4 linked regions of the Mus musculus genome follow. The main gene of each other region encodes a partner of the protein of the gene in region 3 in a complex. Links are inferred from orthologs where the notes say so. Each region holds a gene or a part of one and is shown on either strand. Other genes may lie near its edges.

Evidence for each region. Proteins that work in one complex are often made in the same cells at the same time.
Region 1: the proteins of Nedd4 (region 3) and Grb10 are in contact, whole or in part, in a crystal structure (PDB 3M7F), measured with the Mus musculus proteins. Residues at the interface, in NP_035020.2 of Mus musculus: Glu71, Leu72, Val79, Arg104, Ser112, Ile114, Leu115, Thr116, Ser117, Val118, Gln119, Glu134, Ile135, Leu136, Phe137, Arg138, Leu242, Pro243, His244, Pro245, Pro246; in NP_001357532.1 of Mus musculus: Ile514, Arg516, Gln518, His519, Phe521, His522, Gly523, Arg524, Asp548, Gln579, Phe581, Gly587, Asn588, Thr589, Lys590, Phe591, Ser592, Ile595, Gln596, Asp599, Phe600, Leu603, Asn604, Ile617, Arg618, Val619, Ala620.
Region 2: the proteins of Nedd4 (region 3) and Gja1 are in contact, whole or in part, in an NMR structure (PDB 2N8T), measured with the Rattus norvegicus proteins. The link is inferred for Mus musculus from reciprocal best matches to the Homo sapiens genes NEDD4 and GJA1. Residues at the interface, in NP_037118.1 of Rattus norvegicus: Asp416, Asp417, Tyr422, Val424, Asp425, His426, Ser428, Lys429, Thr430, Thr431, Thr432, Trp433; in NP_036699.1 of Rattus norvegicus: Pro277, Leu278, Ser279, Pro280, Met281, Ser282, Pro283, Pro284, Gly285, Tyr286.
Region 4: the proteins of Nedd4 (region 3) and Arrdc3 are in contact, whole or in part, in a crystal structure (PDB 4N7H), measured with the Homo sapiens proteins. The link is inferred for Mus musculus from reciprocal best matches to the Homo sapiens genes NEDD4 and ARRDC3. Residues at the interface, in NP_001271267.1 of Homo sapiens: Glu847, Arg849, Ala851, Pro852, Phe857, Ile859, Asp860, His861, Lys864, Thr865, Thr866, Thr867, Trp868; in NP_065852.1 of Homo sapiens: Glu344, Ala345, Pro346, Pro347, Ser348, Tyr349, Val352.

Annotation. Positions count from the first base shown.
Region 1 is NC_000077.6:11,943,415-11,946,929, reverse strand, and holds part of Grb10 (growth factor receptor-bound protein 10), read left to right. Parts: intron 1-127; coding exon 128-243; intron 244-897; coding exon 898-966; intron 967-1,297; coding exon 1,298-1,435; intron 1,436-2,003; coding exon 2,004-2,114; intron 2,115-2,949; coding exon 2,950-3,048; intron 3,049-3,515.
Region 2 is NC_000076.6:56,387,291-56,390,925, forward strand, and holds the end of Gja1 (gap junction alpha-1 protein), read left to right. Parts: intron 1-243; 5' UTR 244-256; coding exon 257-1,405; 3' UTR 1,406-3,129; downstream 3,130-3,635. UniProt on the Homo sapiens protein: Gap junction protein that acts as a regulator of bladder capacity. A gap junction consists of a cluster of closely packed pairs of transmembrane channels, the connexons, through which materials of low MW diffuse from one cell to a neighboring cell.
Region 3 is NC_000075.6:72,691,901-72,696,107, forward strand, and holds the start of Nedd4 (E3 ubiquitin-protein ligase NEDD4), read left to right. Parts: upstream 1-1,397; 5' UTR 1,398-1,538; coding exon 1,539-2,966; intron 2,967-4,207. UniProt on the Homo sapiens protein: E3 ubiquitin-protein ligase which accepts ubiquitin from an E2 ubiquitin-conjugating enzyme in the form of a thioester and then directly transfers the ubiquitin to targeted substrates. Specifically ubiquitinates 'Lys-63' in target proteins.
Region 4 is NC_000079.6:80,889,913-80,893,427, forward strand, and holds part of Arrdc3 (arrestin domain-containing protein 3), read left to right. Parts: intron 1-183; coding exon 184-286; intron 287-621; coding exon 622-878; intron 879-1,149; coding exon 1,150-1,312; intron 1,313-1,537; exon of another isoform or gene 1,538-1,575; coding exon 1,576-1,730; intron 1,731-3,457; coding exon 3,458-3,514; 3' UTR 3,515-3,515. UniProt on the Homo sapiens protein: Adapter protein that plays a role in regulating cell-surface expression of adrenergic receptors and probably also other G protein-coupled receptors.

The DNA.
Region 1 (3,515 bases), on a different chromosome or scaffold from region 3:
GATACCCATCAGCAAATTAAAAAGAGTAAAATTTAGTGTTGTTCCTGGTGCTTAAAAACAGCTCTTGACCTTGTGAAATGGCCTTGAAGGTTCTGTCACACCTCACATGTGATGGTTCTCCCTACAGAGAGGTGCCTGGAGGACCATGAGATCGTGGTCCAAGTGGAGAGTACCATGCCAAGTGAGAGCAAATTCTTATTCAGAAAGAATTATGCGAAGTACGAGTTCTTTAAGAATCCAGTGGTAAGTCTCCTGAAATCTTGGAGTTTATACTTGGGTTGAATAAAACCTGATTGTCAGGTGACAAGCTGAGACTTATGGGTACGTGGGTTTAAGAAGCTGAGTCACTATTTAATTAAACAGGCCTCACAACCCAATCATCACCAGATGTCATGGCGACCGTCTCCTTCCTACAAGGGTAGAGATGGTAACACTAGAACAAATTAATCAAATAATCAGCAAATACCAGACACTTTCTTCATTGTATGTTGGTATGCTGACATCAACGCCTTAATTTTGTTTCCCTTTGTGGGGAGGTGCCTGTCAGGTGACACAGTAGGAAAGGGGCATTCATGACTTCTGAGCCTTTGGTCTTTTCCTGAGTCACCAAGCAGACTGACCGTCAGCTAGGGGAGACCAGTGTCCACTTCTGGTTCTGGTTCTGCTTCACTGTTTTCTTGGAAAGAAAGAAATGTAATAGTTCTAGGTAATTCAGAAGAACTACCATCACCATGCTGTTATTTATTCACTTGCTTTTGGTTTTCTTATGTACAAGTTTTGATAAAAGAGTGAGAAGGACTGTTATCTAAAATACAAATGGATCATTATCATACCTGGAAAAATTTTAATATTGGCAGACATGTGTCTATAATACCCTTGTTTCTCCTTGTTTCTCAGAACTTCTTCCCGGATCAGATGGTCAATTGGTGCCAGCAGTCCAACGGTGGCCAGGCGCAGCTTCTGCAGGTACTAAGCAAACACTGCATTCTTGCTGAAACAAACTTGCTGGAAAGTTGACAAGGAGCAGATGCCCAAAATGCTCCATCTTCTAAGGAAAGTAGCAGCATTCCTACTACACCGTAGTGGGAGCCATTTGCTTCTTTCTATTCCAACATTGCTATGTTCTACACAATACCAGTTCTGTTGGGATTTTAAGAAGTTTGAAGGAAGAACATTTTGCCTAAGCTTCCCCAAAGTATTTTAATGATTCAGAAAATCTCAGTTATATGTAATAAGTTATCTGCTTTCATTATTTTATGTGCATATTGCCTAATTTTAAAAATTTATTCCTTCACAGAATTTTCTGAACACCAGCAGCTGCCCTGAGATCCAGGGGTTCTTGCAGGTGAAAGAGGTAGGACGCAAGTCTTGGAAGAAGCTGTATGTGTGCCTGCGCAGATCTGGCCTCTATTACTCCACCAAGGGGACTTCAAAAGTAAGTTTTAGAACACTCCACCTTTCCCTGTACTAGGTGTTCTTGCTGTGGACTTGGGCTTAATTTTTAAAAGCCCCTGAACCTCTTTTAACTAATTAATAGTCAATTTATATAATAACTGTACACACAGGGACCAGTGTACTGGTCTATCAAAAATTGGATGGAAACGCAAGGCAGCTTCTAGGATGGTCAGCCCTGGATCCCTACTGTGGGCTGAATATAGACCCTCCTGGATGACTCAGTCAATGCAGGGGCATACTTGGTTTTCATAATTTGGAAATTAGATCCTACCTGCCATAGGATAGGTGCTGGATTGTTGTCCTGTATTCATAAGCAAAATATGGTTTTCACTCTACTGGAGCAAATTTTAAGAATTGCATAGTTCATAAAAACAAAGTGAGTCTATTGTAACACAAAGCTGGCATTTGTGGTTTATGCTGTTGAGATTTCATGATGTCCTTTCAGTTCGGTGTGTGTGACCAGGGGGAAAAAGTGAGCTTATAGCACTACAGACTTTTTTTTTTCCAGAAAATGTGACCTCACAGTTCACTTAACTGCTGTTTTGCAGGAACCCAGACACCTGCAGCTGCTGGCTGACCTGGAAGAAAGCAGCATCTTCTACCTGATTGCTGGAAAGAAGCAGTACAACGCGCCGAATGAACATGGGATGTGCATCAAGGTACTTGAGCTGGGACTGGGAGTTGTGCAGAGGAGTTTTCTCCTGGCCAGTATCTATTTGGTTGTAGATCCTTCTACTCTAAACAGAAACCTTTTTTTTTTTTTTCTTTTTCACACTGGCCTCATTGTGTGCTTATGATTTGATGTGGGTTGTTTTGTTGTTGTTGCTGTTGTTGTTGTTCTTTTTAAATAGCCCCGGAACACTAAAAGGCCTCAGTGACTTAAGGCCAGGTAGCCATTAGCCTCCTGCACCAGCTACAGCTTTTACCTGGTCATAATAAGGAGAGGCAGAAGCTGGTTAAGAAGGGGAAGGAGGGAACTCCTGACCTGACATCTGATTGTTTGCAACTACTGAGTGTACTGTCTGTGTGTCATGAGGGTTGACCACAATACTCCCTACCCACTATGTGTATTTATGAGAACACTGACACATTGATAGAGATGTATGCCTATAGTCAGAACACACAGATGTCAATGTGTACATAGGTACAAGCAATGCATGCTTGCACATACATGCACATACACCACAGCCAAGATCATGTTAATTTTCCTCTTGGTGAGATTGTGGCAGTGTTGATCATAGTGGTGACTACTGTCTCCTGAACTCCTATTTATGACCTGTTATCTTTTTATAGTCACTGTCATTTACTGAATCTTCATGGATACCTGGGAGGTGGTAGCTAGATCAGCTTCCTTGCCTTTGCACAGATAACCAGTGACTAGTTGTATTTGGATCTCACCGTGGTGGCCTGCTTCTGAGGCTTGAGGACAGCCTTCTCTCACATGAGTGTATGAGTTCGCACTGTTTCACTGGTCGCTTTCTGTTTCTCCTGTAGCCAAACAAAGCGAAGACCGAGATGAAGGAGCTTCGTCTGCTCTGTGCCGAAGATGAGCAGATCCGTACTTGCTGGATGACTGCCTTCAGACTGCTCAAGGTAGAGGACTCAAGGCTGCAGTTGGCTGCACCACATGCAGAGCAAGCAGCTGGATGTGGGTCTATCCTGACACAAAAATCCTATGGCATTTCTACCAAATGTGATTTATCAATTGTAGTTGTATATTCTTCATATCTAAGATCTCAGAAAGGGTAGAACCAGGTTTTCCAACTTGAGCAATATCAAGTATTGATGGAAACCGATTCTTTTTTGGCTAAAGACGGAGCTCTGTGCATTGTAGGTCTCTCCTACAAGATGCCCCCAATCAGTGGAGACAGTCAAAAATGCCTCTAGATGTTTCCAAATGTCCTCTAACATCAAAGGGTAAGAAATTTCCCCTTCAGTAGACAACTCTCAGTTCTAAGCCTGTTCAAAGTCTGTCATCAGACTGGCAGGGTATAAGCCAGCCGTGAAAGGAATACTTTGAATGTGTTAAAATAATGAGATTTCTAGGTGTGGTACGCATG
Region 2 (3,635 bases), on a different chromosome or scaffold from region 3:
TACTAAATACATCTTCGGCAAGTTGGGCTCGCTCTTCTCCCTGTATCTGGGTGCTATTACTTCCGAGTCAACTTCATCTTTGGGAAATGCTGCCAGATTTGCCCTTGGATTCTGTTTTGGCTTGGGTTGAAACTGCCTTATTTTGACTGACCCCTGAAAAAAGAAACTATATATGTGAAACCATCAATTTACAGTCTACAATCACTGAGTTGTTTTCGTGGTTTTTGTTTTTGTTTTTCTTAGGAGGTGCCCAGACATGGGTGACTGGAGCGCCTTGGGGAAGCTGCTGGACAAGGTCCAAGCCTACTCCACGGCCGGAGGGAAGGTGTGGCTGTCGGTGCTCTTCATTTTCAGAATCCTGCTCCTGGGGACAGCGGTTGAGTCAGCTTGGGGTGATGAACAGTCTGCCTTTCGCTGTAACACTCAACAACCCGGTTGTGAAAATGTCTGCTATGACAAGTCCTTCCCCATCTCTCACGTGCGCTTCTGGGTCCTTCAGATCATATTCGTGTCTGTGCCCACACTCCTGTACTTGGCTCACGTGTTCTATGTGATGAGAAAGGAAGAGAAGCTGAACAAGAAAGAAGAGGAGCTCAAAGTGGCGCAGACCGACGGGGTCAACGTGGAGATGCACCTGAAGCAGATTGAAATCAAGAAGTTCAAGTATGGGATTGAAGAACACGGCAAGGTGAAGATGAGAGGTGGCCTGCTGAGAACCTACATCATCAGCATCCTCTTCAAGTCTGTCTTCGAGGTGGCCTTCCTGCTGATCCAGTGGTACATCTATGGGTTCAGCCTGAGTGCGGTCTACACCTGCAAGAGAGATCCCTGCCCCCACCAGGTGGACTGCTTCCTCTCACGTCCCACGGAGAAAACCATCTTCATCATCTTCATGCTGGTGGTGTCCTTGGTGTCTCTCGCTCTGAATATCATTGAGCTCTTCTATGTCTTCTTCAAGGGCGTTAAGGATCGCGTGAAGGGAAGAAGCGATCCTTACCACGCCACCACCGGCCCACTGAGCCCATCCAAAGACTGCGGATCTCCAAAATATGCTTACTTCAATGGCTGCTCCTCACCAACGGCCCCACTCTCACCTATGTCTCCTCCTGGGTACAAGCTGGTCACTGGTGACAGAAACAATTCCTCCTGCCGCAATTACAACAAGCAAGCCAGCGAGCAAAACTGGGCGAATTACAGCGCAGAGCAAAATCGAATGGGGCAGGCCGGAAGCACCATCTCCAACTCCCACGCCCAGCCGTTTGATTTCCCTGACGACAGCCAAAATGCCAAAAAAGTTGCTGCTGGACACGAACTCCAGCCCTTAGCTATCGTGGATCAGCGACCTTCCAGCAGAGCCAGCAGCCGCGCCAGCAGCAGACCTCGGCCTGATGACCTGGAGATTTAAACAGGCTTGAACATCAAGCTGCCAATCGATTGTGGAGGAGAAAAAAAAGGGTGCTTGCAGAACGTGCACCTGGGGTGTTCATTTCGTTCCCGTGGAGGTGGTACTCAACAACCTCAGTAATGAGGCGTAGAAAACAAAGACATTACAATATCTAGGTTCCTTGGGGGGTGTTTTGGGATAGCTAGGCGGCAAAAGTAGGGAAAGGGGAGGTATGTAACGGTATTTAATGTAGAAGATTCAAAGAGCTTAAATTCTAGTAAGAGTCTCATTGGATGAAACATAGATAGGGCTTTCTCTCTCTGCCCCCCAACTGAACCTTAAGAATGGTTCTGTATACATGAGTGAGTGGGTGATATATATTTTTTTTAATTTTTGTTTTACTGAGATTCTGCCATAGAGCTTTGAGCAGGAATCCAAGTCCTCAACATGGCATTTCCTTTATGAAAAGACAGGTTGTCCTACATCCCCGCTAAAAAACATTCCAGTGTTTAAAAACTTGGCAGTTTGCAGGCGAGCTTCCCTGGCCTGACCCTCTAGGTGTGGATGGACCTTATGCTACTATACACGATTTTCATTCTTGGTAGGTATCAATTCGAAGTTCAGACAAGGTTCAAAGAAAAAGATTGCCCATGTATTTGCATCTCAGTGGGTTCTTTTTCAAATCTGTCCCACCTTTGTGTCTTCCATATATTATCCTCAGCTGGTCCTCACCCTCACCAAATGATTTCTATCGACATTTTTAAAACAGTGAGAAAGTCTTTTTTTTTTTTTTTTTTGAGTTAGCATCAGGGAGGCAAGCCATGCTCAATATTTAACAATCGCTTCTGTCTATGTGTGGGTGTGCAAGTGTGTAAGCGTGTGTTTTGTCATTATTGGTACAAGCAGAGGCAGTATAAACTCACAGATTTGAATCGAATTCACACAGTGTTCAAATTTGAACCTTCCTCATGGATCTTTGTGGTGTGGGCCAACGTGGTGTTTACATTATAGAATTCCTGCCGTGCAAAAGTGTAAAGCACACACTTTTTCCCTAAAATATTTTTTCCACGTATCCTATTATGGATACTGGTTTTGTTAATTATGATTTTTTTTTCTTTTTTAGAATGTAGCAGTAATAGCCATTACTGAAATGAATGATTTCCTTTTTCTGAAATATAATCATTGATGCTTGAATGATAGAATTTTAGTACTGTAAACAGGCTTTAGTCATTAATGTGAGAGACTTAGAAGAGGGTTGCTTAGAGTGGACTATCAAGTGAGCCTAAAGGAACTTTGTAGTAACTGGTAATCTGGTAATTTTTGTCCTACTTAACTACACATTAACTCAGAACTTGTATTCTGAGTTTAACAGTCTTTTAGATTGACGAGCAACTTGGATGTTTGCACTAAGATTTTCTTTGAGATACTAGAGGGGGTGAAGGAGTTTTCAGCAGTGCACATGTAACTAATTTATTTGAACTGTAAGCTAAAGACACCTACCAGTTTCTTCAAGTGACTTAAAAAAACTCATCACAGATGATTGAAATGTCGAGTTATCATGTTTCCTCTTGCGCGCCAGCTACACAAGGAGTTTTTGGACAATGAGAAACTAATTTGTTTGACATTCCATGTTAAACTACTGTCATGTTCAGCTTCATTGCATGTAATGTAGACCTAGCCCATCCAATCAATGTGCTCGGGAAAGTGTTCTTTATTCAATAAAATTTTAATTTAGTATAATAAAGATAACCTGCATGTCTTGTGTGATTTAAAAAACAAAAAAAACAAGAAAACTTACCAAATTTATTCAAGATTACCAAAAGTAGATCCCATAATTACAATGTCTTGGGCTAATGAAATCCACTTTTATTTTATTTTCATCTTTTGCTTGCCGGTATCTCTGTGCAATGGTATGTTGCTGCTTGCAGTGGCCAGGAAAAAAAAAAAATTAGTGTCAAATCCCCTAGAGATAGTTGTGAACTGCCATGTGGGTGCTGGGAATCAAATCTGGCTCTTTGAAGAACAGTGTTTTGTTAGTTTGATTTTTAAGGACAAACACCATAAGCATCATTGATTTTGAAATATTGAGGTAATATTTTAACAGGAAATAAAGCATACAAATGTTTAATTGGGAGAACAGTTAAACTCCACACCAGGTCTCACACACTCATAGAATCGAACCTAGAATTTTTTGCCAGCCTCTACATTCTCTTGCCATGGCTTCCTCGATACATGGAGTTGTAGGCCCGAG
Region 3 (4,207 bases):
AAAAATAAATTTGCTTCTTTCAAATAGAATACCAACCTTGGTCTGTGACATTTGGGAGAGAAATTAAAATATTAAGCCTTTATTGCCGAGTAAGCTGAAAATACAGTAAAGGTTATGTAAACATAAATCAGAAATATATATCTATATATACAGAGAATCACCACCTCTGAAGGACAAGCCGTCTACTGTTCTCTGCTGTGAGAGTTTTATCAGTACTCGTAATTCTACCTCAGAGGCCATGCTAGTGGGCAAAGATGTAAACAAGGGCCTGCCTTGTTTATATTATGAAATATGTGGCCTGGTTTGTATGTCTTGTCTTTATAGGTGTCTAACAGCTGCCTGGGTTGTTTTAAAGCACCAGTAGGGCCCGCAGAGGACTCTCCGAGAACAGGATTGCCATTGAGATATGTTTATTTGATGTGTTAAATCCTTTTTAGGCTTCTTTACTTACCACAACACTCTCTTTAAGTGAATGAATTGCACACAGTGGAATAAAATATCCAATGTGTTCAGACTATATTGGGGTGTAGCTTTTCTGTCTAATCTGCATATGTTTTTAATGGAATGTTTACCCAGGCTATTTCTTGGCAGGATTTTAATAGTCAAAATATAAATGGCATCATTTAAAGACTGTACTACTTGGCTGCATTAAACGTTAAAATTACAGGACAAAATGGTTGGTGACAGCTTCTCCTCAGCCTTTTTTTAAAAATTTCCCCTTGAGGAGGTTATTTGGTGTTTACAACAATGTTACTGGGCTCGTTTTGTAGTTCAGTTTGTCAACTTTCACTTTCATAATTGTGTTTTGCTAAAATATTTACCTTGTTCAATTTGACGGTTAGGCTTTATGCCCCTCACCCCACGTTTTTGTATTTCCAAGTTATTCAGCTGTTTTCATTTACTCATTCCTGAAAAAATATTACAGTCCGCGTAGTCCCTGCATTAAACCTGACTAAATCTCTCAGTATGGCCATATTTTGAAATTCAATCTTTAATTTGATACTCAATCACACAGGTTTTATTTGTACCCATTTCCTGTAATCCTATAGCATTCAGTGAAAATATTAGCGGTGAGGATCACCGGGGGAAGTTGTAGGCACTGAGATTTCGGGAGTTAAATGTTCGTTTTGTAGGGCTGGGGTGAAAAACTAGGTTTCCCAGTTGAAATTGAAGAAGCTTGTTGTTCTTGCGTTACTCATTCATGCAAATTGGCGAAGGTATAATTGAAACAAGGTTGGCTGTGTTTGAGTCAGGGCTGCAGCTGAGCTCAGCTTAAAGGTCGCTGGAAATCAAGTGCTTTGTCAGTGAAGGCGTTCTGACTCCCGGCGATTCTAGACACTTGGGGAACGTCAATCTCGGGCATGGGTCGTCCTTTTCTATGAAATCTGGTATCTGAAGTTAAAGACGCCTCCCCACGAGCTTTTTCAACACCGCCGATGGTTTTTTCCTCTGGATGCAGCACAGCTGCGCTAGCCTGACTACAGACAGAGCTCTTTGTTTTGACTCTCAGCCCTGAACATGCTTGGAAATGAGAACAAATGGCACAGAGTTTACGACTGCACTTTGCCGCCAGAAGAAGCAAGACTTACCCTCTGTCGGAACCCTCTGGAGATGACTTGGATAGCCACGTTGACACACACGGCCAGAGGCGGCCCCGGATCTCAGTGGCTAGTGTGGTTCAAATGAGGCTGACCCCCAGACAGGCGCCACAGGCTCCGTGGGTAGAGCATAGATCCTCTGAAAGTACTGACAAAAAGAGCAGCTGCCTGCAGATCTCACTGCAGCCCAGATACGGAGGGTGTCTTCCATCTGACACTGTCGTGGCTGATAGGGACAGTACTTCCTCTACCTGTGCTTCAAAGGATGATGTTTGCAGCAGCAGTGGAATTGACAGTGAGCTGGACAATGGCAGCCTCAGTAACTTCTCAGCCAGTGACAGTGGGTCTTACAGCAGCAGTGGCAGTGACTGTGGGTCTTGTGCAAGCCTCGCAAGTGGAGGCTCCTCCACCGGCAGTGGTGTCAGCGACAGTAGTGGCTATGAGACCTTTTTCAGTGGAAATTTACCTTCTGACAACGCCTCCAACAGAAGCGTGCCAGTCGACACTACACCCCGTGAAGTTATGTGCGGAAGTCCCAGTAGACTTCCCTTTGCCCAGGAGGACCTGGATCGTGGAGTAGAGATTATGAAACTGCCAGTGAGTAGGAACGCAAAGGGTCCACTGAAGCGCTGCACGTCTTTGGTCATTTTCCCCAGGAGTCCTTCAAACACCCCACCAGCATCCCCGACGAGCAGAGGTGCCTACCAGACCTCACACCAGTTGGTTGTATCACCTACTGAAACTGCACATCATGAAGATGGATCTGGCACCAAAGGCTTTCTGTCAACAGCTGTCAACGGGCTTCGATTATCTAAAATGGTTTGTACTCCTGGAGAAGTCAGAGATGTACGGCCACTCCATGCCAAGGGCTCATTGCAAAAGAAAATTGTCATTTCAAATAATAGGCCCAAACAAACTGTGTGTGAGAAGTTGCCAGAAGGATTTTCCTGTGTTTCCGTGCACTTGACCCAACAAAAACCAACGACATCAGATTGTGCAAACCCCCGTGGTGGCTGCACATCAGAGAGGTTAGAACTTCAGCTGCAGTCTGATTTGGACCATGGCATGCTCAAACAGAGGGCATCCCCTTGCTTGCCAACCGCATCAGACATGGGTTACCATTTAAACATCCGTGGAGAGTTGGAAAGACCAAATTCACCGATAAGCAAAGGCCATGCTGCTTTGCAAAGAAGTGTTTCGCTGGGTGGGACATACCCAAATATTTCCTGCTTATCCAGCCTGAAGCACAATTGTTCAAAGGGGGGACCATCTCAGTTGCTCATTAAGTTTGCATCTGGGAATGATGGTAAAGTTGATAGTTTCTGGAGACAGAGAGACTTGACAAATGAACTGTCTGATGTTTGTAAGGTAAGATTCCTCTGGTCTTGAAAAAATACTTCCTGGAATTCTTAGCTATACTGATTATACTTGATTATAGCACTATCTGTTCCTTTCTGTGGCCCTTAGTGAGGAAGTTTTTAGAAAGCTTCAATTTTATATTTGTAAAGCTCTTTCTTATTTTACCAATGGATAAACTACTTTTAAAACAAACAAACAAAAAAAAAACCAAAAAAACCTTTCCTTGGTGATTTAAATCCTAAAATTCTTCCAGAACTGGCTCGATGTCATAACACTCGATCTTGGGATATTTGTTCTTCTTACCTTCAGAAATGGGATTTTCTTCTCCCTCTTAAAACACATGTATTTGTAAGATCGCTGATCAAAAAGACTATTATATTGAATGTTTCAAGCAGAGGAAAAGTAAGTGGGCTTTGCATTTACATACACCCTAGCCACAGGAATGCTGTTTGCACCCTATTTTTCCTGAGTTCCCAGTGATCGCTGTCTCCCAAAATGTAACTCACTTTTTCAGCAGTATTGATTTCTAAGTTTTATGTGTTTGAATTGGCTTAAACGTACTAGGTAGTTTCTATAATTTTCAATTTACTACACTAGTTTATTGTTCTCACAATGTTGCTTTATTTTATTAGTAATTTAGCTCTAACAGATCTTAGCCAGATTGGCATTTTATGTAATTTGGCCTTTTCAAATTATTTACAATCTTTAAAACTAAAGTAGCCTTTACCATGTCTGTATTTGGAAGGTTTTGCAAAATTCCAGGAAATTTAATTGTTTTTCTGACGACATTAGCTCTAGATTGACAACACATATGCTGGCTGGCGTGCTCTATTTCTTTCTTGTGAAGGGACCTTGCTTCTTTTCATGGCAATGCCTGTATTAAATGTTGGAGGAGTGTGGGGGGAATCCAGATAATGTCTAGACAGATGGAGTTAGAAAATTAGGTAATTGGGCTCTTTTTTCTCTCTTTTGAAATCTGGAAAATATAATCATTGTGTCCACCCAAGGTTAATCTACGCAGCTACTTCACTGGGGATAAGAGAAGATTAGATTTCAAAGTTTGATCTTTGTTTTAGAGTTATTCATTCCACTTGCAAAATTTTTCTAAAACAGTTTTTGGAACATTATAATCGGTTTAATTCTCTTCCCCAAAGTGCTGGGTCCTTAAAGCAGCATTAGTACTCTGCCAATTCAGTCGATGTTACTCACAGAGTCTACATTCAAAGAAACCTAAGAAGTTATGAATCTGA
Region 4 (3,515 bases), on a different chromosome or scaffold from region 3:
TTGCTTTGGAGTAGGATGTAAAGCATTTTTTTTTCTTTATTGAATGGAAGTTTATATAAAGACAGAAGTTGGTGTCATTTAAAACCATTGACTAAGGGAACAAAATCAATTCTCTAATTTGATTTTTAAAATGTGGCATTTTTATGAGTTTGTACATTGATGTTTTTTCTCTATTTTTTACAGTCACCCCAAGCAGGCACAAAAGAAAAGACACTCTGTTGCTGGTTCTGCACCTCAGGCCCCATATCCTTAAGTGCCAAGATTGAAAGGAAGGGCTACACCCCAGGTATGTGTGAGGTTGAAGCCCCCAAAAAGCAATTTACTAAGTATTTGTGTATGCACATCGAATATGACAAATACCAACAGTAAGCACCCAGTCTTCCCTAGGACAGCTGTTCCCATTGTCTCTGTCCGTTTTCTTCTTACAGTGGGGGCTGCTGTTCTCTTGGGATACCGAGAGGGAGCAGGTCTTGTTTTAACTGGAAGTCACTTTGCTCATGTCCAGGATGGTTTCTCTGCCATAGAGTTATATGGGCTTCATAGTTGAGCTTCAGAGGTCTACACTTTATAGTGGGTGTTGGCTTGTTTTCTAATAGTAAATGTAACGGCTTCCCTCTGCAGGTGAATCAATCCAGATATTTGCCGAGATTGAGAACTGCTCTTCCCGAATGGTAGTGCCAAAGGCGGCCATTTACCAGACGCAGGCCTTCTATGCCAAAGGGAAAATGAAGGAAGTAAAACAGCTTGTGGCAAACTTACGTGGCGAGTCTTTATCCTCTGGGAAGACAGAGACGTGGAATGGCAAGCTGCTCAAAATCCCACCGGTTTCACCCTCCATCCTCGACTGTAGTATAATCCGAGTGGAATATTCGCTAATGGTAGGTGTAAAGTATGAAGTTTTTATGACTTAAAGTTGTGGGGTTGTAGTGTTAGCTTATCCAAGTATGGTTTTCGTAGTCCACTTAAAGTGGGGTGTAAATGTGTATGTGAAACTTTGCATTGTAATTCTACCTCTCATAAGCCTAGAACATGGCACATAAAAGAGAAATTGTGAAGAAATTAAAAGGAAATCACAGCTAATATGAGAATTAGGGTGTGTTTTAAAGACGGTTGTACGTGGAGTGCTGACCGAAGCTTCTGTCTCTGTAGGTGTACGTGGATATTCCTGGGGCCATGGATTTGCTTCTCAGTTTGCCCCTCGTCATCGGGACCATCCCTCTGCACCCGTTTGGTAGCAGAACCTCAAGTGTGAGCAGTCAGTGTAGCATGAGTATGAACTGGCTGGCTCTGGCCCTTCCTGAAAGACCTGAAGGTAATTACATAACACAGTTTTAAATGGACTCGAGTACTATTAAGACTTTCTCTTTTGTTTTGGTATATTATATTCCTAGTTAAATTGTACCTTTCCTTAGCACATGTGACCTTAATGTTAAGTTTGGTTATATGTCTCTCTTGTTTTAATCACCAAACAAATAATTACACTTTCACATGACACTTTTTTAATATCTACTATTCTGTGTATCTTGACATGCATAAGAACATGTTGTTCGAATTGCGTGTATCTTTCTCCTTCAGCACCACCCAGCTATGCAGAGGTTGTAACGGAGGAACAGAGACGGAATAATCTCGCCCCAGTGGGTGCTTGTGATGATTTTGAGAGAGCTCTCCAAGGACCACTGTTTGCTTATATCCAGGAGTTTCGGTTCCTGCCCCCACCTCTCTATTCAGAGGTAAGCACCAAGGCAAATAACAATGTACTGAGTCTCCGAGGAAGCAGCAGTAGACGGTTTTAAAAAGGCTTTAGCAAGACAGTTGCTTCTTGATTATCTCAGGAGTAAAAATTTAGAACAGCTTAAAAGTTACAATTGTCAAAGTTTCTAACTTCAACACGTAGGACTTCATCCAGGAAATAATATGACCTTCAAACTCTAGTTGATTCATTAGCATTTTTAAGAAATAACCTTATAACTTTGTAAACATTAATTAAATATCTAGAATTTATATTATTCATAGTCCTCCAATCTAGTTTTTACATATTTTAGCATTCTTAGTCATAAGAAAAGTTAGCATATTTCCAAATGACTTTTTAAAAAACACAGCTAAATTATTTATGCTCTTCATGTTGATCACATTGGGCACTCGTGAGTAAAGATAAGCACTTTGGATAATCTCACAAATTAGTTAGTGAAAAAAAAAAGATTCAAAGTGAAATCCTACTTTAACAGTGTTAGGAAACAGCACTCAGGTAATGAGGAGTTTATTGGCGCTTAGGTAATCAGAGTGCTTCTCTGAGAAAGATGATTCTTAAAGCTGAATTTTAAACTATGACTGGCCCTCCAAAGATGGGACTGTATAGGCAGGAAAGGCAGGCCAGAGGAAGGACAGAAGGGGCTTTCTTACATGACGAGCCAACAGTAGACATTTTTATAGGACCTTTCAAATTGACCTTGATAACCAAAATAATTATAAATCAAGAGAATCACCCCCTGGATTATGTAATTTATTCCACTGTCTTATATGCATTAGACACAAAGGATCTTGTTTTTACTTTGCCACCAATTGCTGTGAACCATAACTGGAGACATGGTTCCCTAAAGCCATCCTCATCGACTACAGGGTACTCAGAATCTGCTCTTACACATTTCTGCTTAGACATTTTCCTGTCTTATTGTGGTCTATAAAATATGTGTTTGATTATGAAAATGTTCTACCATTTCTCACAAATTCTATTACTGTATTTTTATTCTTATATTTTTTTATTTTGCTTCTGGCTTACTTTGAGTATTCATAGCTTTCATGGGGAAATTTTTTAAATGAATATATAAATAGTATTAATTTCATCTAATTTTTCATAAATTCTGCCCATTTCAAGATGATTATAAGTTACTTTAAAACTTGTACAACACTAAAATAGCTCTGGAATGTAACTTAACTACAAGACAACTGGCTGTTTTCTTCAGAGATGTGTATTTTGTGGAAAACTTGTGAGGTACTGTGGGTGTCTGACATTTAAGTTCAAATGGATCAGACTTGTCCAGAAGACCCTTAAGTTTCACAGGAGCCAGAGACCCTCAGGAAAAGGTGCACTAGCCTTTAGAACAAGAACAAAAGAGTCACTTTACAAAGGACATGAGCGGTTTGATGCTATATTCCAGTGCTATATCTGAGTGTACGCACCGCTGATGTTGAGTGAAACTGCCCTGCTAAAAGAGAGCCCGCCAGGAACTTGTGTGCAATTGAACTATTCATGCAGAACTATAATGCTAGTAGTACCCTTGCGTTCTCATGTAGCACTTCCGAGGGAGGGAACACCAGTGTATAATTAGCCTAAGAAGTTATGTATAGCCTCTGATTATATTGGTTATATTTGCTGATTGTTACTGAAAAGCAGATAAGTGTTGCATTCTTCCTTCACCTTACCAAGTTAACTTTGTAAATTTTATCTTATTCCTACTAGATTGATCCAAATCCTGATCAGTCATCCGAGGACAGACCATCATGCCCCTCTCGCTGAA